2 linked regions of the Oreochromis niloticus genome follow. The protein of the gene in region 2 interacts with the protein of the main gene of each other region in a biochemical or structural test. Links are inferred from orthologs where the notes say so. Each region holds a gene or a part of one and is shown on either strand. Other genes may lie near its edges.

Region 1 (12,556 bases), on a different chromosome or scaffold from region 2:
TATATCCAATAAATTAGACACTTGCTGTTAACTGTCTAGACTACTGAAAGGTTAAATTACCATAAGAGAAAGCTTGAATTTTTTGTACAAGGAAAAAAAGGAAAAAAGGATTAAACTCAAAAACTCAAAAGTATGTTTGGATCCATTTATTGAAAATAGTGACAACTTCATTCATAAGACTGGACCACAGTTTAGAACTGGATGACCTGGCCCTGTAAGAAAACAGAGGGAAAACATTTGTGAGAATGTGCAACTTATATTTGGATTAATTTACATTGGTGATTGCCATGAATTTATAATTAAATTCTGACTTTTGTACTGTAGTTGATTAAGACTAAATAAAACCCAGTATCTTCACATTCATCAGCTTTACCAGCCTGTTGTAAAGTATTGCCACATATGCAGACAGAGTGGATATGACTTAACCTTTGTTCTGTTGATGAGGAAGACAGTAAGCAGCTATTAAATAGAGTAAATGTAAAGTCTGATTAATGAGGTAACCCAACAGATGAATACTGAGTCATGGGGACACAGGAGCCAAAGCACCTTGAGGAAACTGTTGTTGCGATTTGAAACTGAAATAAAAGGTAGCCAATCATGAATTTGAGAATCATGAATTAGAGCTTGTATTGAAGGAAGAAAAAATAATTGATGTTTAAGAAAAAATAAAGAAAAGGAGAAGCTCAACAGCAAACCTTGTAAAAATAAATAAACTATAACTGTATTGACAGTATATATAATGAGATCAACTCATGCATCGTATTTTAACCACCACAATAAATCAACACCCAACCCAGAGTCACCATCTCATCAAAACAAATACAATTTACCACTAACCACAAAAAACAACAAAAAGAAAAACAATCTGTCACTGAAAGCAAAATATGCTCCAGTTAAAATCCACGATGGGCTGCATATTTATCAAGTCCAGCAAACAAACATTTCCTAATGCGATTGTGTTGCTATAGCGTGTGAAATGCACGCAGACGCATTTACTCATGTGGCCATGCCTCTTTCACAACTCAATTTCAAAAGCCGTTTCTCACTAATTACATCGGAAAAGGGTGGGCAGAATCGAGTCGGGACACGGTCAGAGGTGGCCCTTTCCCTCGTCTAACACACAGAGCATGTGTCAGACGCTTTCAAACTACTGGAAAAAACTGTTGGGGGTATTTTTCCCACCTCTTGAAGAGTGTTGCCTAGGCAGAAGCTTCGACAAATATTCTAAAATCCACATTTTTATATGTACATGTGAAAAATTAAACAATTGCCAGAACGAACAATTTTGACAGGAAACGGGATGACTAGAGAGTGAATAGGCTCAAGATAATTACATATCCGATCCAACTGCATCTGGCATTTGCATTCTCGTGCACCTTCTTTGGATATCTAGCAATATCCATCTTTAGCGTGCAAGGCTACAGTGCATGTGTAACAACAGCTTTATACAAACTATTTTTTCTGAACAGGAAATCCATGTTTAGGTGAAAAACCAGCTGATATGCAAATTGTGCATTTTTATCATGCTGTCACCGCGTTACTTCCGTAATTTATCATGATTAACACAACAGATGTCAATATGTCACATGAAAAACTAATAGTGGGTTATAAACATGAGGTTATTAAATTTTAAATGTGTAACAAGATAATTACCTACAAATATGAGAAGTCAGAATATTTTGATAACAGATTTCTGTGGGATGATTCTGACACCAAACTGTAGCTTTAGCAGAGATTAAACCCACTCTGAAAAGTACTACTGAAATAAAGTTAATATAAAGAATATGTTGTAAAGAATAGTGAACTTTAACCTTTACAATACCAGGGACATATGTGAGTCTTACCTTTCTCTTCTTGTCACCACCCAACTCGAAGTGCTTACATCTCTTGATGGCCAGCATTCTCTTGGATCTGCAGTTGGGCTCCACACACTCGAGCCTCAACACAATCTTCTTTGTAGTCTTAGCCTGTGTGACAGTATTTCAGTGAGTGTCATTTCCCCTCACATATCTCAACACAATCAATCCAACAGTACAATGCTGTGAGAAAGTATTTACCCTTTTCATAATCATTTTTTTCCTGTGAACTTGTCACACCTTAGCATTTTAACACTAGATAAAGATAATCTGAGTAGGGCTTGCTGTTGTGCTTTGGATCAGTCCTGCAGCATAACCCGAGGGCACTTACACATAAGGGCACAAACAGACGGCTGGACATTTTTTCTTTAGGATTTTCTGGCAGAGAGCAGAATTCATATTTCCATCAATTAAAGCGGCAAAACAGCCTCTGACCATCACACGTCTGCCACCATGTTCGATTGTTATGTATTTATCAAATGCTGTATGTTTTATGCCAGATGTAACATTATTTACATTTTCCAAAAATTTCAACTCTTTTCTCGGCAGTCCACAGAATATTTCTGTCTTGGAGTTAAGCAAGATGGTTTTTGGGGGGGACAAATGTGAAACCATTTGGTCAGTAATGGTTTGTACCTTTAAACTCTCCCATGGACGCCATTTTTCCCAACTCTCTTCACACTGTTGAACCTTGAACTCTGATCTTAACTGAGGCAAGTGAGGCCTGAAGTTTTTTAGATGTTATTCTGGGATCTTTTGTGACCTCTTTGATGAGCCATAGATGTGCCCTTAAGAGTAATTTGGATAGGCTAGCCACTGCTGAGAAGGTTCGTTACTGTCCCCAAGTTTTCTCCATTTGTGGATCATGGCTCTCTCCACCTTTCCAAAGCCAAAGAAATGCATTGCAACCCTTTTCGCACTAATAACATCAATGTCTTGTTTGTCATCGTTTCTTGACTCCCTTAGATTGTGGCGTGATGTGCTGCTTTTTGATATTTTTAAAAACTTAAAACCTCTACAACACATTGAAGTAAGTGACTTCTTCATATCAACAGATATGGCAGTATTCACGCCTGGGAGAGGCTATTGAAATTTAACTCAACTACCCCAAAAATGTGGCTAATTACACTTAAATCATGATTTCACACAGGGCAAAGTAAAAACTGTGCTTTCTAATTACTTGGGTTATTTTTTTATAATATTAAAAATTAGTATGACGATGATCTCAAACTTTAAAGTGTGACAAAATTAGCAGAAAAATATAAATCTGGAAAAGGACGCACTTTTATTACAGCACTGAATGAGAAAGCGATGATTACCTTTTTTCGGAAAATCGGCTTAGATTGACCACCATACCCACTCTGCTTTCTGTCGTATCTTCTCTTACCTGAAAAACATTTAGAGTTTAGTCAACACATACTTGAACAATTAATAAAATAAAGCAAGGATGCACTGATGCATGGGTTCAAAACAAAAGATTGTAAAATGTCTGCAAATATGGGCCAATTTCCCTTCTGTGACAGGAAAAAGATTGCAGATATATTAAGTGCTAAGACACTAATCTGATTGATTTATCAAAATATGTGACATTATATATATTATATCTTTGCTTATATTAGTAGGTAGATGTAGTAAGCAGAATTTACGGAGTTATATATAAAATAAAGAAATGACCTGTTTTCCAAGAATCCCTATGACTCTTTGTCATATGTACACTTAGCTGTACCCTGTGTTTTACACGTCATCAAGCCAGTCCTTTTTGGCTACCTAAAATATATTTATAGAGATGCTGTTAAATTTGGTGCAATTTGTTCTACACTCTTGCTCAAATCTACTGAAAAATAAACTTGTAACTGCTTGTATTTTGTGACAGGAACGTTCTTTCTGGCTCATAGTGACTTGATATCACTTACAAAAGATGTGTTTGACAGATCACAGGTCAATATTTTATATACAGACACTTTTTTGGCGTTAGACACCAGTGCATCCCTTAAATACAGGACAAACATATTCACCCTGTACATAAAGAGAATCCTTCCCCTTCTTGTACTGGGTAACTTTGTGGGGCTGGTGCTTCTTGCACTTCTTGCAGAAGGTCCTGCGGGTTTTCGGGACGTTCACCTGCACAACACAGAGAATAACATTTGAGCAGACGTGCAGTATACACAAAATACCACAACGCGGACTAACTAGCCACGTCCAACAGGCCCAAGCCATAAAACTCACAACACTTATCAAAAATAAAGCGCACAGCTATAAAGAGTTTTGTTAAATCATTTTCGAAATTGACCTTAATACACAGAAGCACCGAGTTTATCATTTAAACTGTGGCCGGCAGTGTTGGGGCAAGCTAACACGTTAGCATCGCTATTTTAAAGAAAACAGCGTAAACAAGTGATGCTCCAACACTTTTTACAAAGCAAAACACTTTTTGACATAGCTGTTAATTGATTTTAATGTTTAGCTTGTTTTGTTTTTTTCGCTTCTGACAGAAAGGCCGGTTGGAGTAGAAAAACCAAGTGACGTTTCTCCACCAAGATAGCATCCATCAATATCACAACGTTAAATACACCAAAGATGGCCAATACCGCCATCGTTACGCACATCGTGACATTATCAACATAACCGGGTGTATCAAATACAGAAATTGTACTTTAATCGGCAGGATTGAGTTAGATTTGTTTTAGGTGTAATGGTAGCATACCATGGCTGCAACCCGATGCAGAGGGAAAGAGGAAGAAGGAGGCCGGAAGCAGTTCTTAAAGTCGCCGTAGTCGACCTCAGCCGTAGAGAGGTCTGCCCCCTAGCGGCCGGAGATGCAAAGAAGCCAAAACCATAAAAAGACTGCAAACACCCCAAGTTTTAAGGAGAGTGACAGCCATGGAGTCCACAGCATAAACCTGACAAAACTCAGTGCCTCAGTAATATACTAAAACACAAGCTATACGTTTTACTCACAGTGAGTAGGCTTTAATTCCTGCAGAAGTTATCATTTTGAAATATCTTTTAACAACATAATAAGCAGGTGAGAAACTAAGAAATCCCCTCAGGTTACAGTGTAACTATATGTAACAACCAAATATGGCCTCACATTAATGTTTAGCCCGCTTCCACTTATCAACAAAACTGTCCAGAAGGCTGATATGAAAATTAGCAGCAAGAAAAAGGGGAAGTAAGCCCTGTCGATTCCTCTCTGTGGGTGTGTTTTAAGCTTCTTGCATCACAGACCAACACACATTTTATGGAAAGCCAGCTACTGAGGCAAAGGTCCATGCCACTCTTCAAGCCTCAGCATCTGCAGTTGTCTGATGTGTGTCATTTTTCGACATCTGGGTAAGCAGCACTTGTTTCTAAAGGAGGTATTTTTAGTCGCACTTTGTTCACAGAACTATAAATGAGAGAAGCAACCTTTGAGTACACTTCATCTGAAAGGCCGAGGCCAAAAGTAGCATAGATTAGTGCAAGTACTCAACTGAAAACCAATGTAATTTCGTTTGTATGCAAATCCTGTGAAATAACCAATGAAATTATGAGTCCACAAGTGACATTTTCAGCTTAAAGTCTAAAGATTTATAAAGTTTTGAATGTTTTCTGGACATAAATGTACTGTTGTGCGCTGACAGAGTGCTGATAATCCTTTATGTGCATACACTGACATTATTTATCAAAGTGCTTTCTTTGTAGCAGAAAAGTGGTTCAATGTATAGCAAATCACTATCACTAATCAGGTTGTACTTTCACACAGTTACTGACTCTTCATGGCAGATAGCTTGGATTGAACTGTCATAGATTGTATTATCATTTTTAATACTTACATGTGCATCATGGGAAATTCTCGTATTCTGACAAATAGTTCTCACAAGTTACCACAATGTTAAACTTATGTGGTATTTTAATATGCCTGAGTATTCTTTGCGGTTAGAATCAGTCTTGTGACATTACTCACTTTTTTTTCTTTCTTTGTTACGTATGCTCACACAGAGACACACGCAAACACTCATACACAAGTGCGCATTTTATTGCACATAGCACTTATCTACCAGGAAACATCAGGAAACACAGCATCTTTACAGGTTCCTGTTAACATTAGTCTTTCATGATAAGCTTGTGTCTGCTGTGTCATTCACATCAGACATCACGCAGTCAAAACTTGTGCACTTTAGAATAAAAAAACAATAATGCCAATAATGATAATTTATAATGATTTATTTGCTACTTAATTGCCTTTCGCACAGAGGGTGTAGTGACACATTTGGCCTGTTTTAGATTATACAGTCCAGGTCACACACAGAAGAATAAATTACAAACGGAACCTGCAAAAACTGGTAGATTACATGCTTTTCAAATGTCCAAATCATGCACAGCAACATTTAAAAAAGAGATACTGTCAGGTAAGAAGAGGTGCAGGCCACAGGGTTTCTTCTCTCTTCATATTGCAACGCAATACTGATGCAACTTCCCTATGACTTTGTCTGTGTCAGCCACCATGAGTCAACTCCCAGCAGAAAAGGCAAAAAAAAAAAAAAAAATCTCTGAGTAGCCATGATGCATTAGTAGCTGCACAGTTCAGTCAAAAGGCTTCACTTATTTAGAGGCACATATCACGGTTTTGGGCGTGCGCCCTCAGAGTTTATTGACCTTCACTCGAGTTAGTGATGTGAGAAAACACGGGTCGTGTTAAATGAGGAATGAGTAAACAATGTTTCACAGAATAGGGAACACCTCTGTCTGCTCATGAAGGCACAAACAACACCAGCAGGTAGTGTCACTCGAGTGTGAAGAAATGTCAGACTTCGTTAGCAGAGAGCAACAGAAGCTTCTCGTAGTGCTACAGTTACAGTTGAGATGATAGAAGGAAGTTCTCTCTCTCTCTCTCTCTCTCTCTCTCTCTCTAAGCTGAAAATAGGCTGAGTTGAAGTGCGCACACATCTGACAGAAACTGACACACAGTGAGCATTCGGCCGTGTAACGAGGGTGAGTCTGAGAATTTGATAGTTCACATTTGAGCGGTAACCGGTAACAAATAACTTCCCTGCATTGGTGCACTTTTGTTGCACTTTTAGAACAATGTGGTGATGGGAATACCTTGGCTTTTCTTCTGGTCATTTGGTGAGATTTTAGTTTTAGTTCTGCATTGGTCAGAACCAAAGAAGACTTTGCTTCCCAACCTATCATCAACATCAATATCTTTCAGCTTTGTTTCCATCAGTTGTCGTGATTTTCTGCGTGTACCGTCACTGCAACACTATTTATGCTGAATTAAGTTTCAGCTATCTTTATTTCCCCTAAAATATCAGGCTGTTAATGTTGCTATGTTACTAATTTCCACAAAGAGAAATTATTGTATGCTCCCCTTCACTCAGATTCTATCAATGTGTCTTGTTTTGGAGGTGCAAGTTTCATTTCAGCGCTGGTGGTTAGGAGGTGCTGCAAACAAGACACACTACACTGCCATAAAGCAAAAAGAGAGCCTTTTTCATTTGCCTACTTATCTTATGTGCGTGGTAAAATGTAGAAATGTGCCCGAGGGGAAGGAAGCCTTCTGATAGTAAGAGTGATATATTACATGATATGTTTGCCAGCAAACAAATTTTATTTAGAAATAAAATGGATCATGTCTAGACTGTATAGTTATATAAAATGAAAGAACTATACTACTGTATTGAGCCAGGTTTCTGGATCAACAAATCAGGCACTTGATATTCATTCCAAAGGCAAAGACGAGTTAAATACTGTATCCAGATGACCAGGATGTAACAGCTAAGAGAAACAGATGTGCCACAGAGGCAAATGTTGGAAACCGAGGATGTTGCTGTCAGGAAAAGCAGGGCTTATGCAAACTACACCTAATCACACAATGATATGCGCTAACACTGCATGCCTGTTCATCTCTTTCCAGATCTCCACTCTCACCTGTTGTAGTGGCACTGCTCCAACTCTATGAACAGTGGGTAGGTATTACATTCTTTAAAACGCTTTTCAAAGGAAATGAAAACACTGAATAAGTGTAAAGTTCAGCAAAACATGAGGCTTTATTATAATGCTGAGCACAGTCACAATGGGTGAGCCAGTCACAGCTCTCAGCAGAATTACGGATGCTGTTATAGTCGGGGTGAGAACATGCTGTTTAGTGGAGAAGCCCTGTGTTACGCCATGATTAGTCTTTTTAAACGTATCCATTTGTCACTTGTTCCAGTGTAGCTGAATCCTGATTGAATCATGTCAGACTCTATACTGGAACAAGTCTTCATTAAAAGATCTCAACAGAAGAAGAAGACCTCACCTTTAAACTACAAAGAGAGATTGTTTGTTCTCACAGCAGAAAAAATATTCTACTATGACTTTGACACAGACAAAGCGGTATGTATATAGAACTGAAGAAAGGTTTGTTTCATATTAATGTTGGCTGGCAACCTTGAGCCACTAAATAAACACTTGGGTCTTTATCTTGGACTTACCTGACTGTTTCCTCTTCTGTTAAGCAGAAGCGAAAAGGTCTGAAAGGGTCAGTTGACCTAGAGAAGATCAAGTGTGTAGAGACAGTCCAGCCAGAGCCCAATGCCCCACAAGAGCGCATGTATCCATTCCAGGTAGATATTTTTCAATCCAATTTTCATTACTGAAGTTATAAACAAGAGTCAAATGCAAATGCTTTGTACCTGATTAAACTTTATATAAAATATACACTTTGCTTGCTTTCACTGCTATCTCTTCTCTTGTTTAGCTTCGGGCCAGAACACATAACAGGAAGATTGTATAAGAATAGAGCTGCAGAAAAAGAACAACAACAAACACTTTGTATTAAAAAAAAACACGTACAAGCAGCACACAGCAGCATAAGTGAGGCTCTCCAGGGACTGTTCAGTGCTCCAATAGTTAACACTGTGAAAGTTAATTGTTAAGAAGTGAAACTTCCTCTCACACTCAGATGAGCTAGGGGCTTTTAGTGCCAATGTTGCCATAAATAGTAAAAGTTCAAGCTAAACATGTCTTAATTAAAGAAAAAGCAAAGTAACACTTTGTGGGTTCATGTGTTGAATTTCTGTGAACGCATTTGAAGAGACTTTTGCCACACTTGCAGCCATCTATTCTGCAATACCAAACTTGAAAAAAATAAATAAAAAAATACTGAAAATTGCCGTCTTGCTCCGCTGTGGATTTTTCCATAGGTCATTTATGATGAAGGGCCACTGTATATATTTTCTAAGACTGAAGACATCCGGGCTGAGTGGATAAAGAAGCTCAAAGAATGTAAGCGTGCATGTATATTCTCTCACGCCGTCACAGTATCTCTTATCATCTTTCATGAACATGACCATATCTTGTGTATCTGAAAAACTCTGTGATCATATGCGTGTACAGTGGTGCGCTTCAACAGTGATCTGATGCAGAAGTACCATCCGTGCTTCTGGGTTGATGGGGTGTGGTTGTGCTGCCACCAGGAAGTTAAACAGGCCATGGGTTGCAAAGTGCTCGATAGTAAGAATGGTGAGAATTAGACTCCCCTTAGTTTAAAGTCTAAAATGATCAGGTCCTAAACTTTTGAATTAATATATCAAATAATGCCTTTACAGGAGTGACATCACAGCTATCTCGAAGGTCAACAAGGAAGCCGCTTCCTCCAACCCCAGGAGAGGTATAGACCTAGGACTTTGAGATGAACATTCACCAAGTACACACTGTTTTCTTCTATATGAAAAAAAGCAATCTTTTTTTTTTTTCCAGAAAAAGCCTACTCGTCCTTTACCTCCACAGCCTCCTGACCCACCAGCTTCCTCTGCAGGCATGACAGTTGTAGCTGAGTACAATTACACACCCATGACAACACAAGACCTGGAGCTAAGGAAGGATGAGGAGTACACCATCCTGGAAAAGTCCGATGCAAACTGGTGGAGAGCTCGAGACAAATATGGGTAAGCTGACTGGAGGTGACCCAAAAAGTGTCTCGTAAGAAGAGTGTGGCCGCACGTAGCCCATCACACAAATCATAAATCAAGCGCAATCAGTTTACCCTGGAAACTTACAATGGAAGCTAAAGTAAACCAACTACAAGCGCTATAATGATAAAGACAGATAATCAGTGATGATTTTGAAGCACACAGATTAAAGATCATTCATATAAGAGAACGTTCAAAAAGTGGCTTCCGGGGCTACACGGCTCGTTAGTTCATAAATTTTGCATAACGAGTAGAAATGAACTTATATAATACATGATTCACTTGAATGATTTGTAAAAGTTAGAATCTGCTTGTGTTAACAAATATTTTAAGGTCCAGCAAAAGCTCACATTTTGCATGTGCCATCTGTTGATGTTCTTTTCTTTTCCAGGAAAGAGGGTTATATACCAAGCAATTATGTTGTAGAAGCTGAAGATGGGCTAGAAAGATTCGAGTGAGTATCAGTGTTATTGCTTTGCCCCTAAATAGGTGTATTAATGTCACATATAGTTATAAATTTTATTCTTTTTAACCTAATTCATTCTTTGTTCCTTATCTGCACTCGAATTCATTTCTTATTGTTGGACTAATACAACAACATTCAGGAAGAATTAAAAATTGTTTATTTTTTTATTGACAGCTGGTATTGCAAGAATATGAACCGTAGTCAAGCAGAAAAACTGTTAAAGGCTGAGGTAAACCTATGACTGTCATTACCAATGTACTTAAAAATGTAGATGTGACATGTTGCTCCACTTAAAAATATGTTTCCGGACTGTATTTAAGTCAAAACTTATGAAATATGTTGTTGTAATCAGAACAAAGATGGAGGCTTCTTGGTACGGGACTCCAGCAAGGCTGGGAAATACACTGTGTCTCTGCTCACAAAGGGTGGCGGGTGAGTAAGCTTAGTGGTGTTAAACACTGCTACCATTTATATAGTGTATCCACTAGCTCCAGTCATGTGTGAACGCATGAAAAGAAGAACTGTTTGTAATGAAAGAGGAAACAGTGGCCCGCAGAGGGAGAGAGATGTAAATGACTTATGCAAAACTAGGACTAATGTGTCTGCGGTACTTTTTTTTAATTCCAAGACTGAGCTACCCTGTTCAGAACACTGAGGAGATTTTACCTAATTATGCATATATGATAAATGATTCCTGTTCGGTGGTTCCAGTGAAAACGTGCGGACTAAATCTACTCGTGTTACTCTTCTCTCTTCAGGGAAGCTGTTGGAAGCTGCCGACATTATAACATCTGCACCACCCCGCAGAGCCAGTATTACTTGGCAGAAAAGCATAATTTTAACACCATCGCAGAGCTCATCAACTATCACCAGCACAACGCAGCAGGTCAATATAACTGCCCGGGTCATATGGATACATAGTCTCAGCTTTAATACTGTGGTATTTGTTACACAATAAACTCATTTTCAAATTTGGTTACGGTAACAGGAAAAAGGAAATGAGTCATAAGCAAGTTTGAGTGGGGGTTAGGGGGGGCATTGGACATTTTGTGGGTTTAATTATTCTTTTTTATTATTAATTTCCACTTTATTTAACTTAAATTTACAGTTGCTTTTTAATGCGAAAACACTTTTTATTTTCCTTTTTTAACGTCTTCTGTAGCCCTTTCACTCACATCTCAAAGCTCAATGAATTAGTTCGTCCTTACAATCCATACTCCAGTCATCCTATCAAAAATGACTATCTTAATAGGTAATGTGGCTTTGTTATCTCCCCCACTAGGCATGGTTAGCAGACTGAAACACATCGTATCTAACCGGGCACGGCCCCCATCCACAGCAGGCCTTGGTTATGGTAAGATTATGACAGCACTTGAACTGCAGATGAAATTTAATTACACCTGCTTTTTTGGATTATGAATGTATTCTTTTTTATCATAACAGCTTTCAGAGAGTGTATAAAAGCTAACATGTAAGATACTGATTGTTGTTTTAACAGTGTTTTGTGCTATTAGTATATTTGGCAAAGTTATTACATTTTTGTGCATAGCATTAGATCAGAAGATTAAAAATGTTTTTCTGTCTGTGCACCCGATCACCTGGTTTTTAGTTTGATAAAAGAAAAACTTTTTCTAGTGTTTATGGTAACCAAGAGTGGTATCTCATTCATCTCTCAGCAGCAGCGCTAAAAAGATATATACACCGTGTCAAGCAGTTATTTTAATGAGGTTGTTGCATGCTAAAAGAGCACAATCTCTCTTGTTCGACATAGGTGTGTGGGAGATTGACCCACGCTACCTCACCTTCATCAAGGAGTTGGGATCTGGACAATTTGGAGTGGTGAAGTATGGGAAGTGGCAGGGACAGCATGATGTGGCCATTAAAATGATTAAAGAGGGCTCCATGTCAGAAGATGATTTCATAGAAGAAGCAAAAATCATGATGTAAGCACAACTAAATGATAATAGCTGAATATCTAACTCACTATAAGATGAGTCTGTTTGTGCACAAGACTCATAAAACTGATCTGTCATATTGGGAATGGTAGTTCCTATAATGTCTTTGAGGAAACCCAGCTCACAGTGCTTAAGTTCCTTCTTCTTTTTGCTCAAACAAGGAAGCTTCGCCATGAGAACCTGGTCCAGCTCTACGGCGTGTGCACCAAACAAAGGCCTATTTATATAGTGACTGAGTACCTTGCAAACGGCTGCCTCCTCACATACCTCAAGGAGGGCCTGAAGCAGCACCCAACAAGCATCCAGCTGCTAGAGATGTGTAAAGATGTCGCTGAGGGCATG
Region 2 (12,828 bases):
CCTCACTTTGGGGAATAACGTGTGCATGTAGAATGAGACCATCCATTTTCAAAAATCAGCCGGCAACAATTTCGAATGCACAGTTAGGCAAGGGCTTGTTTAATGGGCTAAAATTTCAGTGCTAAAGCGTGCATGAGGAAGGTATAAATCAAAGGTGACATTGTTGAATTAGAGGACACACACATTGCAGACTAAAGTACCCTCCCCATCTCTAAAACTGGCAAAGCTGTTGTTTGAACCAATGGCTTGATAGATGCAAGAGTTCCACATGGTACGTGCAAAGCTAAAGATAGTATAGATAACACCACTATTATCGGTATCAGATTGATACTAGCATGACTGGACTGATACTTTGTTTCTATCTTCTAAGTTCATTATATAACCCACTGAATTCTACGAAATTCATTATTTCTTTCTGAAATGAAAACATTTGCCTCAAATGTGCACTATGAAAAATATCCGAACCTTTTTGTTTCTATTTATCTATATCTGATAACACATTTAAATCTTGTTTAGAGACAGGCACATTTACATTTCAGGTCCCCCAAAAACCCAGATTCAGAATACATGAAAAGCTGAAAGGTGTGTTTTGTTGTGTTATTATTGTGAAAAGTAAAAATCACAGTGATTTAGTGGTCACTGAAATGTGTTCAGAATTTGCAAATTGATGACGATTCATTTCATAAATCATGACACACTGCTCTCCCCTCCATAAGCAGCCTTAATAAGTCAAAAGTATTGGTAGTGATATCGTCAGTGCTGGCCCTGTATTTATTTGGTATCACATCGATACCAAAATTTGCAGTATCACACAGCATTACCTGCCGCGTCTGTCAGGTTACACACAAAGCATCAACACCAACCGGAGCACCAGATAACACAGACAGCGTTCCACATGACTTCCCTTTCTGATATCCAACAAGTCTAACCAGACACATCCAGAGACAGTCTCAACTACAGCAGCAGCAGCAGCTGATGACAAAAGCTCTTATTTTTCCCCCCTACCCTGAAACACACAGATGTGCAGAAACACGCAGGCCTGGCAAAACTGTGAAGGAAATCTGTGCAAGAGGCACGCTGCGTGCACTGGAAATAGCATGCTGCGGGCAACGTGAGGCCAGTCGTTAAAGAAATTTAGGAATAGGGAGATGATTCTCTGTAATCGCTTTTTTTTTTAAAGGCCAAGGAAGTTCACAGTTGTTCCTGCATGCAGACACAACAAACATCATTAATTTGTACTGCTAGACGGCAACACGCATGGCATCCCCTTCAAAGGAATACCACGCATTATTAAATTATTAATCCATACTATAGTGGACAACATGAAAAAAAAGAAAGAAAAACACTCCAAAACAACAGCAACTGACAGTTGAGTAAAAACACTAATGACTTACTTCCAGGGATGCAAGTTCCCCTAAAACAGGGTTACATGAAAAGAAAAGCTGCTTGAGCTCATTTCCATAATACCTCCGTGTGCCCCCATGAGCACCAGCATCTCTGGTTCGGTTTTCCTTCATTTGCATGTGCCATGGAGCGACACGAACACTGAATTTTTCCTGGGTTTTTGCAGCTGGAGCATATTGAAATGCTTACAGTAAACGCTGGTAGGAGCTGTTAGTGGTGAGATTAGTCTTCTGGCTGCAGTGCAGGCTCACAGACATTATTCTGGGGGGGGGGGGGGGTCGCAGCAGAGCCAGTGGTTCTTTATCAGACACACAGCGTGAAGTAAATTGGACCGGAGATAACAGTTGGGCTACTCTCATCACCTTTAAACCCGCAGACAGAGGCTCATTTGAATTCAGGACGTGTCCTCTATTCAACATCAGAATTTGACTCTTTTCCACAGAAAGTTGCTTGTTAATGAGAACACAGCCGTACACTGTTACCCTGGAGATACTATAAGTGGCAAAAGTGCAAACGTTTCACACATTGCTGAGCTCGCTGACAGCTGGAGTGAGATTTAGTGTTTGTCATGTGGTTTTTAGCCGAGCTGTGGCCCTGCCTCGGGAATGTAAGTGTGTGCCCGTGTGCCCGTGAACTCCTTCATCACAGCCTTGGGATCACGTTCCTCAGTCTTACAATTAAAAGGCCCTCAGTCGAGACAGATACCAGCAATCCAGAGGCATTTTATTCAGCTGAATATCATCACAGGAGAAAAAAAAGAGCAATCACATCCACCTAATAAATCCGAAGAGCTAATGCAGTGTGCACTATAATCATTCAAAAGAAGGCATACTGTATTACATGTTCACGTATTAAAAACAAACTCAAGCAGTGTAACATTTGTCTGCAGCTGAGGCTTTACGAGAAGGATGCAACGACTGGCAGCGTGTTTTCACCAACTATTCTTTCAGTTACAAGTCAGTTCCCTTCATTCGTTTATCCTTTAGGGGAAAGTAAAAATAGAACATATCACTCTTTGCAACTGTCCAGAAAACCCCTTTGCCATGACTCATTGTCCATGCACTGTTACACAGAGACAATGCTGCTGACATCGCAGCTGCCAGGTGACTGGTACGGGACATGCGGCAGTGGCTGATGGGGAAGTCACTACGGGGTGGGTAAAAAGGAGCGGCGACAGGTGCAAAGTCTGAGTATTATCATGGGGTGGGGGGGAGGAAGACTTTCATGCAAATCTTAATAGTATAAAGTCATTTATTATCTCACTGCACGGTCCCAGGCCGATGCCACGCTGTACGCCCCCTCTTCACACATCTGAATTGATGCTCAGGTTGGCCAAACGTGGGTCAGAGTTTATCTCATACCTGTAATGATACCCCTCCATGTGGTCCCTACAAGCATCCCGGATGTTGTACATCCACCGTTTGATGCCCTTTCTGTTCAGGTAGAGCACCAGCAGGAATATGACACCGATCAGGGCCAGCACCAGTCCCAGGAACACGTAAGAAGTCCCCAGCACACCCTTCATCTCCATCGAGCACTTCAGCTCGTACTTCTCCAACTGCAGAAGCGGCTGGTGTCTCAGGTCCTTGGGGTTCGTGCAGGTCAGGTTCTGGACGTCGACGACCTGAGTGGAGTTCTTCAGCCACATCAGCGTGTCCTCGATAAAGCAGTTGCAAAGCCAGGGGTTCCCTGCCAGCTGGATGCGGAGGTCCGGCTTAAGGCTGAACTCTGCCATCATTTTGCTGGACAGGTGTTTCAGGCTGTTGTTCCTCAGGTCAAGTTCACGCAATGGGGGCACTCTGAGAGTCCCGTTGTGGATGTTGATGATGGAGGTGTTCTGCAGGCTGAGGCTGACCAGGCTGGAAAGATGAGTGAATATGTCGCTGGGAAGAATCACAAGGTCATTGTTGGACAGGTCCAAGACTGTAAGATTGACGAGGTTCCCGCTGCGCAGGAAATTTAGAAGCTCATCTGTGGTGGAGTGATTGTGCAAAGACCTACTGAGGTTCAAGTGCTGCAGTTTAGTGTCATTGGGGAAAGCGCTTTCATTGAAATTCTGGAGTGTGTTGTTGCTCAAGTCCAGCCGCACAAGGTTTGGCAAGTTGTTAAATGCCATCGTATCCACATACTCCAGCTCATTCCCACTGAGATGGAGATCTGTTAATAGCTCCAGGCGGGTTGGGAAGGAGTCCCCACTAATACGAGAAATGCTGTTTCCTGACACAAATAGAATTTTGGTGTTGTTTGGTATGAAATGCGGAATCTTGTCCAAGTCCTTGTTTTGGCATTTCACAGTTTGTAAGGAGCACAAGCATTCCTCCGGGCACCCGTGACCGGACGGCACGATCGCGAGGAGGAAAAGTAAAAACATCACGCCGGACTTTCGGAGCCTCCCTCGCGTGCCTCCGCAGTCACTATCGCACAACGTGCTTAACATGCGCCTCTTGGAGTTTGAAAACCAGTGTGCGCAGAGCGTGCGTAAAGAAATCGCTTTTAAAACAATCCAAGCGTGCGACCCCTGCTTCGTTGTTCGTCCGCGGTGTGGGGAACAAAGGAAAGTTTTTCTAACACTGTTTCCCACGTTTATCCTTTCGAAAAATGCCCCTAGTTCCAACTCCATACAACTACCGCCACACCATCCTTGTTTATGATGAGTCTACATTTCAGTGAAGCAGGCAAACTTCTCCGATCCTGTTTCTTTGTCTTCCCAGTCTCAGGCTTTTCGGAACATTAGAGGTACAAGATATTTTTCCCCTTTTCCTTAGCAAAACAAGCAAATCCAGAATATTTCTTTCTTCTTTTTTACATCCAGTTACTTATTCCGGCTGCTGGTTTCCAAACAGACAAAACTCTCGTTCTCCCAGAGGTGCCATATATTACATACGTATTTCCAGCATTCCGCTCCTCCTAATCGTTGCGAGTCAAGAGGTAAAGACCAACCGCAGCAGCACAGTGCAGACCATTGCAAGGAGGGAGCGTACCATTATTCAAGAAAAGAGGGGGTGAACAGAAAACTCCCACAAGTTTTCTTCGGCCTTCAGTTTTAATTCCACGGTCATGATGATGCTTATAAGTGGTTAATTTTTTTTATAAACCTAACCCGAAACTCTTGTAATATTCATAAATTGGCTCGCAGCTAACCAGTATGTATGAAGAGGGCTGAATAGTTCATCTTAAATGGGACACGGGCTTATGGATAGTTTAGTGTGGAAGTGTTAACATTCATTTTATTCCTGAAAATCGCAGTTACTTTCTGTATTAAATAATAAAATGTTCTATATAGTCTCAAAAAATCAAGAACAGATTTAAAGAAGCAAACCAGTCTGGCTGTTGGATTAAGAACGATACACAGCACTGTCATTATTAGTATTATGATGTGAAGACATTATGAAGATGGATGGAAGGGTTTTGTGCTCATGCACACTTCAGTTGTTTTCTTACATTTTAAATGTTAATATGTCGCTGTTCTACCCTACAGGAGTCTAGGTTTCCTTTTATGAATAACTGTAGCGTTTGAATTGAATGACTTGTCAAACACAAGTTGAAAATAAGTGTAATGAAGCTCTAATAACTCATGAATAAAACTGAAGCGGTACTTGATATTCTAACTACAAAAAGAGGAGGTGACCCTGCATGAGGAAAGGGAGGGAAGGTAAAGGATTATCAGTCCTTATTGCATTTATTAATTCTAGTTTTTACTAAGCCACAGACCATGAATCAGTATTTTGCACTATTTAGTTAAAAGGGAAAAAAGGTGCTTTCATGTGGTCTCTTATGTCAAAGGGTCACCAGATGCCCTTGCTAACCTACTCATCTGGGGACAGTTTGTTTACATGATGAATCTTAAATGTTCCACTTTACCAACAAAAATCATCCCACTCAGCTGGAAATTTTTACTTGGACAAATGAAGGTAACATATAAACATATAGAGTCTAGCAAGGTATTCTTGTCCCACTTTACATAAAATCATTCCACCTAACCATAACCACTTGTTAGTGTATTCATAAATGGTATTTCTTGAACCATTATTCCTTTAGGTAGCATAGGAGTGGCTTTGTTTGTTTGTTTGTTTGTGTGTGTGGCTGGAATCCTGTGGGTAAAAGTATCTTGATTTAAAGGCCTACCTTAATGTTTAAAATTCTGTGCAGTTCAGCACAAATCACATTCGATAAGACATAGTCTCCATGAAAAAAACCCACACATCTAGCCTAAAGGGACTGAAAAGCCAAAAGAAAAATGTTAATGGAAAGACATTCATCACTTGATCTACTGATAATGCCTCATCACCGAACATATATTTAGTGCTATTTATAAGAAAGGGGACTTTTGTATGATTCAAATGCTTTACTATTTCTTTTAACCATCTATGAAGATAAATGAGGAACATCGTGAAGATTTTTTGCATGTCAGCAAAATACTCAATTAAATAACAATAAAGAAAACACAAAAAGTGCCTGGATATTGTGTATTAATATAGTACTATATGTGTAATATCTAAACATGCTTTTGATCCCCATTAATTATGGCATAACTGTTTGGCTGTAATTGTACTTGACTGGGGCCTTGTAGTAGAAGCATCATCTGGGCAATTGAACAAGATTCATAAGGAAAGCTTGAACGGTGAGGGAGGGAGTGCTCATTAATATGGCATATTTAGGAGCAGCCCCTAGTGTGTATCTGAGTGTAAACTTAGCTTTACCCTCCTTTGACCCTCTGCTATTCATAGTCCTGGCCAATATGACAATTATCTGTTTAACTCCATGAAACTTGGATTCTGAATATCTAACTATATGGTGCTTTTCTGGAGAACCTACAAACTTTACATCTTCTGGTTATATTAACGCTAAATGTGGCAAACTCAAAATGTTGATCATCACATAAGTTTTCATTCACTGTTGAAGAAACAATTAATGATCAGAGATGGTTTTTAAAACCTTTCCTATCCTATTAGTTTATCCTCAAAGTTTATATTTAAGTGTGAATAGTATGAGTCATTTAAAAAATATTCAACAATGAAATCTTGCTTCTATTGAACACTTATTATTGTCTTTTCTCTTGATTAATCTGCAAGCTTGTTAAGATGTAATATTTATGGTATGTATGTTTTCATTTTTTGTTTTTATTATGTTATTATTCATTAACATATGTACAAGGCACAGTTATTATAGTTTTGTATTTTCTGATTGGTTTCTGTTTTTATTTCATTTTGACTTTTTGTTTTTAATTCAGTTTAGTTTTAGTTTCGCTCCATACTGGGTTTTCTTTTTTCAGTTTATTTTTCAAACTTTTTAAAAATTTTAACAGTCTTGTAGACACACAGAGTCATCAGCCAAACTGTAACTATGATAATAATAATAGTTATTATTATTTATTTTTATTTTCATCAAACTAAGAAATACTAAAACTAAGGTTTTCCTCTATATTTTTTATTTTATTTTAGTTAGTTTTGAGGTCACAAAATCGTTTCACTTAGCTTTATTTTGTTTTCAGAATGTTGTATTTTTATTGTAGCTAACTAAAAAAAATTATATGCAGTTTTAGTTTTTTATTTAGTGTTAGTTAACCAGAATAATCTCAGCCAGACCCTTCTCAATAATCTTGGTATAGGAAACTAAATGTCCAAATCGCACTTTATGACATCACCCACAGAGCGACAGCACACTCTGAAATCAACTGACCGCCCCAAAAATCCGCCAATAGGACATCAGGATGCAGGAGCCGTGGCCAATCAGAAGTCTTGACATTGATGCAAGCTCTCTTACCTAACCTGCAGGGGCAGATTCCTGTCCAAAATTCTTACCGGCGAAAAAATGCATTGCGTTTTCCATTTGTAGTAATGACACAGTGGATTTACGTCGTTGATGCTACTTTCTCCATGTCCTCTTTTTTCTTTCACTAGCGGAAGGTAAGAAATACCCCGACGTTCATTTCCTTCAGCTGTTAGCAGTTTGCTAACGTTAGCTTGCGATGATGTGTCAGCTAAGCGAGCTGTCAAAGTAGTTTTAGGTAAATGTCTTTAATTAACTATACTGGGCTGATTTTCAAACTTGTCCAAATCGGTGCGTTTATCCCGCTTTGAAATTATCTATGCTGCAGTACCCTGTTAGGCAGGATGAGCTAATATTACTGGGTGAAGTAGCTGCTGTGCACAGCCTGCTTCTGCAGCAAGTTAGATAAGCAATAAGGGAGATACGACTGTTTCTATTAAAGAAATAGGTCCACTACGGCCTTAACATCAAGGGTGTATTAGCTTACCATTAGCTAGACCAAATGGTGAGTGGACAATAACAGCAGTTAACATTAAGCTAAGCTAAGTTAGCCTGTTACATAATCGTGGTGATTAGTCAACATTAAACCTTGTAAACTCAGCTGACTCGAGCTACTTAAGACTGATTTTAGGGCAGGCTTGTTCTGAAGTTTACACTTTTGTATTTGACTATTGCACACGTGATTACATGTAATCAAAATGAGGACGCTGTTTTGTCACTAATGTGTGCTTCAACTTTTTCTCTTTTAGGTACACTCTACAATTATGGAGTTGTGAAAAAGAGGTGTGAAAATTTGGGGGGGAAGGTGGCCTTTCCCCTCAGGTTTGATGGTTGGGACTGCAGAAGAAGGTCAGAGGGCTGGTGAAGTTGTTGCCTTTTGTACATAATTAAATGAAAGACTATTTTTGCAGATGTTGTACAATTTTTTTTGTATAAATTCATAAAGAAGTTTTCTATTTATTAAATTCCTGATGCCATTGTACACTGCGAGCACCCAGCCTTGTGTGCGGTCCTTGGTCGAAATGGTGGACTGAAACGAGTCACGCAGAGGCTCTGGAGTCGCTAGGGTGCGGTGGAACCTCAACACAAGCACAATTCTAGCACTCCAATCTACCTCGGCTGTTTTATTTTTGTCCTATTTTTTTCCAGATTTTTTTGACAGTGTTTGTCTTGTTTGTTGCCACACATTACATTGTTTTTGAGTGTGTTTGCCATTATCGGTGGTGGGCTGGCAGAAGGACTTTGCAAAGAGGAGAAGGGCTTCACTGTGAAGATTTGTCAGAGGTCAGGATGAGTCAGGCACCGCTGGACTGCACCCCCAAATGCCGCTCACAGCAGCATGCAGACCAGGTGGTTGCTGCACTAACAAGTGGCTCTGAGGGGCAGCTCCGGGCTTTCCTGACTTCACACTGCCACAATGCAGCCACTTTGCGGGATGCCTTCGGTCGTACAGCCCTGCACCTGGCGGCCTCACTGGGTAAGAAGGCCCTGCTGGAGTGGCTGCTGGAAATCAAAAGTGCTGACCTGATGCTTAAGGATAAGGAGTCCGGCTGGACCGCTCTGCACCGCAGCGCCTTCTATGGACAGATCCACTGTCTCATATCACTGGTCAAGGTGTGTATTGATGGAGTGCCATCAAAATTTACCAGTGTGTCTATTAAATTATTACCAAGAAGAAACAGTCCAATCAAAGCTTTCAGTACCGTAAAATGACAAACATTATTCTGAAGAGACTCAAACTTTGACCTACATTTGAATTTTGTATTGCAGCACGGGGGACTTCTTTCCACCCAAGACAAGGAGGGTCTTTCAGTCCTGGACTTGACCATGAAGGACCGCCCATCACATGTCTTGTTTAGAAACACTGGTAAGAAAAGCCGACACCCTCAGACGCTGCTTTTAATGCTTTGGTTTTGTTTTGGAGATGTGTTACTTCGCTTGTTCAAAAAAGAAAAGAAACTTGGGCCTATACTACGATTCAATATATATGTGATATCTTTGTCTTTTCTGTCTTCCCTTATCATATCACTGGTAACAGTTAAGTGGTTATCGGCTGGATCAGTCAAATGTAGCTCACATTGAAGAGGCTGTGTTGGCAGCATATGACTAACCACAAATAGGGACAGGTCCGATGGCAACTGAGCAGTCTATTTTATGATGATCAGATTGTAATAGTACAAAAATACAACCACCTGCTGAAAGCAACACAGCTGCTGCAGCCAAATAAGCAAAATGCGAGTGTGTGTGATAGGCAAAGTGCTGCACAGTAGTTCAGTGTTGAAAAGCTCTGTGTAAATGTGTTTAAGTGCACTCTGAGCTTTGCTCACTGAGACCAGAAAAGCTCACTGTGTCAGGTAACAGACTTATCATTATCATAGCTGTGTCACTGGGACACAGGCGATTCAGACATATAATTACAATTGCGTATTCTGTTAAACAGTCTGTGTTGTGTGACGTGTTTGTGTTATTCTTGCAGCTGAAGCCTCTGCGGTGTTTAAAAGGTCTGAAAACAAATAAAGAATAAATATAAAAAACAGAATTTAAACCAGTAACCATGTTTAGTGTGTTCGATTTGATTCAAAATCACCAAGTCAAGAGCTAAAATTCTCCACTTTACTATCATATTGCTATATTGAGGCTTATAAAATGTTTTAAACAGTTAAAAAAAATCTTTAAAAAAAAGTCTTATTCATATTCTGCAAAGAAAGACGAAACTTTAGGTAGTCTGCAAAAGTTCCTAACTGCACATTGTGGACCTCAGTGTGTATGTAGTAGGTTTCCAGGCTTTTCTAGGAACAGTTATGTTATTTTCCAGGGAATGGATTGGTCAGCAGGTGGTTGTTTGGTATGCGTTGATCTCCTTTGTGGAACAGAGCAGTCCAGAGCAGCCTAGGACTGCTCTGGACCGGCAGGCTGCAAACCTAGGCCGCCTGTCAAGAGCAGGCTAGGTTTGCAGCATATGTGGTGTCTCACTGAACCCCAAATCCAGTTTTGCACTACAGGCCTCTTTAGTTAAATCGAACATTAGGTGGAAACAGTGTTTTGGCTTTTTTTTTTTTTTTTCTTTAAATAGTGTTTCTTTCTTCACCTTAGACCCAACTGAAGTTTACACGTGGGGAAACAATACAAATTTCAGCCTCGGTCATGGCAATCAGGAGAGCCGACAGCACCCTGAGCTTGTTGATGTCTTTGCCAGGACTGGAGTTTACATCAAGCAGGTAGGCTAACAACGCATTGCCGTCTTAACATCTCTCAAGGGAGTGGGTACGTGTTTTCCTACCTCACACCCTGAAAACCCAACTCATGTGTATCCCTGTAGCACCAGGAATGCTGTAATAGCTCCGTGTTTTGACTGAGTACCAAGATATTACATTAAATTAAAAAAAGAAGAAGAAAAAAGCCAGTGCACATGGGTGTTTCAGATAAGCCACATCACTTGGGTAAAACCAGTAAAACACTCCTATCCCCAGAGCCACGTATTACACCACCTTCTCCTCAGGGCACCTGAAAATTTGCAAAATGTTTTTTTTTTCCTCCCCCTTTCAGCTGTCCAGTACTGTTTAGTCCACAGCAGCTGAAATAATGCTTATGTTGGAGAGCTTCAAACTGTACCTGCGATAAATGTATTAAGTTATACATTAAAGCATATTACATAATATAATTTGGCATATTGTATTGAGTCATGGCCACATTTCCCGGTTCATCTAGGAGGTGGGGGGATCAGTAATGTTATTTGAGTCTAATACAGCACATTGTTTCTGTATCATCAGGCGTGGTCTGCCGTCTCTTGTACAACCTTCATTTGTGACTTAGTGGAGCTGGTCTGTACATTGTTAACCCCTGCTAGCTGAACTGTGCCAAGCCAGGCTACAGTTTCATGCGTTTGTCATGTCTAGGCTCTTAGTGTGATTAATATAGCTCCTGGAACCAGTTCAATTACCCCCAGTGGCCTGTGTACCCAACGGGTGTCGGAATAAGATAAGACTGTGTTTGCTATATTTTCACTTTCTGTTTATCTGTTGACTAATAATTTATCTGTGCCTAATGTTGTATAATTGCTGTTTACAGCTGAAAGTGTGAGGGTTGTTCTTTTTCTTTTTTTCCCTCTAACCTGCAGGAGTCATTTCATAAAGCTAGTTGGGGACAGGTGGATCTGATTTCATGACCATTTCATGACCCAGTGAGACTCAGTGTAGTCTTTGTCTTCCTGGCCCAATCCAGCAGGTGCCAGAGGTTAAATATTAATTCCACAATGACATGTTTTTAATTAAATGAGCTATACTCATGTGTACGCATGTGTGTGGATGTCCACATCAATGCGATACTTCAGGAGACATCCCTGTGCTCTATTGAAGGCTTGAGGGGAGCGATGTATTAGTAATGATGTTTGCTTTTCCACCTGTGCCCTGGCCTTTTATTGCCGTAGTGTTTTACTATCGCTACAAGAAGGGTTGGCCCAGGGACATGGAAAGAGATGCATTGCAGCCTCGGACGTGAGGTCAAAATTATAATGACAAGAGCATTAATCAGCACAACCAAACACCTCGTAATTTTCCTGTAGTGGGATATGCAGGCTATTAAAACTGAAAGCAACAAGGGGATACCACAATTATGTTTGTTTCTTCTTTCTACAGGTGGTGCTGTGCAAGTTCCACTCTGTGTTCTTGTCTCAGAAAGGCCAGGTGTTCACCTGCGGGCATGGACAGGGAGGAAGGCTTGGCCATGGAGATGAACAGACTTATCTGGTGAGATCTGGGCATCATATCAAAATCCCCCATATATTTAAAACGAAATGCAGAATTCCTTCCTCTTTAATGAACAAATATATCAATGCATTATCATCATAATCATGTGCTTGTGCATTTTATTGCTTCAGCTACAGAAAATTTAGGTTTCAAGAAAAAGTGGTTTTGAAACTTGATCTGGATTTGATATTCATTTAAATCAATTATATTATAATTATAGACAAACACAAACTGATTAAACAAGTAACGCATAAATAGTTTTACTTTTCAGGCCTTCACTGAACACATTCACAGATAGTCCAATCTGGGAAAAAGTCAGCAAATCTTTTATAGTAGGTTGTAGATCAGTAAACATTCCTTTATTGTGTTCTGTAGTTTACAGAGAATTCAGCAATATTGTACAGATTATGTTTTCCTGTTGGATTTGTTGTTGTCAGTAAAATATAGCATTTTTAAAAATAAAACAATTAATCATGAGATTTAATGCACAAAGCTTAACAAAACTTAACTTCATACATCACATTGTTGTTTGATCTTGTGAGCATCTACAGTCCTGAAAATCCTCTATTTTTACTCTTCAGCCGTAAAAGGCTGATGGGTTATTTTCGTCACTCCACTTCGCCCTCAAGTTCACAATCTTGGGTGTCCACATCACCCAAGTGACGTGATTATTCCCACCAACTTTTTTTCTGTCTTTTCTGTAGAAAAGCAGATTTTGTCAGTAACCAAACTGGAGGGGCACTCAATATCTCCTTGATTCAAACACATATTTTAAGGAGATTTTTAAAAGCTGTCAGCACAAAGGTTCACCTTCTTTGTTCAGTTGATACTTTTCAGTACAGGCTGGAAAATGTGTGTTCAATAAAGCCACAAGAAGTACAATAATTGTGTTCACTAGAAGATTATGGTT

The links.
Region 1: the proteins of ibtk (region 2) and btk form a complex in vitro, tested with the Homo sapiens proteins (2 studies listed by BioGRID). The link is inferred for Oreochromis niloticus from reciprocal best matches to the Homo sapiens genes IBTK and BTK.

What each region holds. Positions count from the first base shown.
Region 1 is NC_031966.2:17,462,296-17,474,851, reverse strand, and holds the start of btk (tyrosine-protein kinase BTK), read left to right. Parts: upstream 1-5,058; 5' UTR 5,059-5,189; intron 5,190-6,752; 5' UTR 6,753-6,830; intron 6,831-7,755; 5' UTR 7,756-7,807; intron 7,808-8,052; exon of another isoform or gene 8,053-8,057; 5' UTR 8,058-8,075; coding exon 8,076-8,216; intron 8,217-8,341; coding exon 8,342-8,446; intron 8,447-9,025; coding exon 9,026-9,107; intron 9,108-9,218; coding exon 9,219-9,344; intron 9,345-9,430; coding exon 9,431-9,492; intron 9,493-9,581; coding exon 9,582-9,769; intron 9,770-10,184; coding exon 10,185-10,247; intron 10,248-10,433; coding exon 10,434-10,488; intron 10,489-10,611; coding exon 10,612-10,691; intron 10,692-11,017; coding exon 11,018-11,145; intron 11,146-11,541; coding exon 11,542-11,613; intron 11,614-12,030; coding exon 12,031-12,202; intron 12,203-12,375; coding exon 12,376-12,556. Other genes in the region: rpl36a (large ribosomal subunit protein eL42), read right to left, coding at 192-212, 1,845-1,967, 3,176-3,243, 3,872-3,977, 4,561-4,563. UniProt on the Homo sapiens protein: Non-receptor tyrosine kinase indispensable for B lymphocyte development, differentiation and signaling. Binding of antigen to the B-cell antigen receptor (BCR) triggers signaling that ultimately leads to B-cell activation.
Region 2 is NC_031976.2:14,394,462-14,407,289, reverse strand, and holds the start of ibtk (inhibitor of Bruton tyrosine kinase), read left to right. Parts: upstream 1-7,141; 5' UTR 7,142-7,310; intron 7,311-7,654; exon of another isoform or gene 7,655-7,678; intron 7,679-7,922; 5' UTR 7,923-8,463; coding exon 8,464-8,787; intron 8,788-8,943; coding exon 8,944-9,040; intron 9,041-10,266; coding exon 10,267-10,391; intron 10,392-11,807; coding exon 11,808-11,918; intron 11,919-12,828. Other genes in the region: tpbg (trophoblast glycoprotein), read right to left, coding at 2,708-4,024. UniProt on the Homo sapiens protein: Acts as an inhibitor of BTK tyrosine kinase activity, thereby playing a role in B-cell development. Down-regulates BTK kinase activity, leading to interference with BTK-mediated calcium mobilization and NF-kappa-B-driven transcription.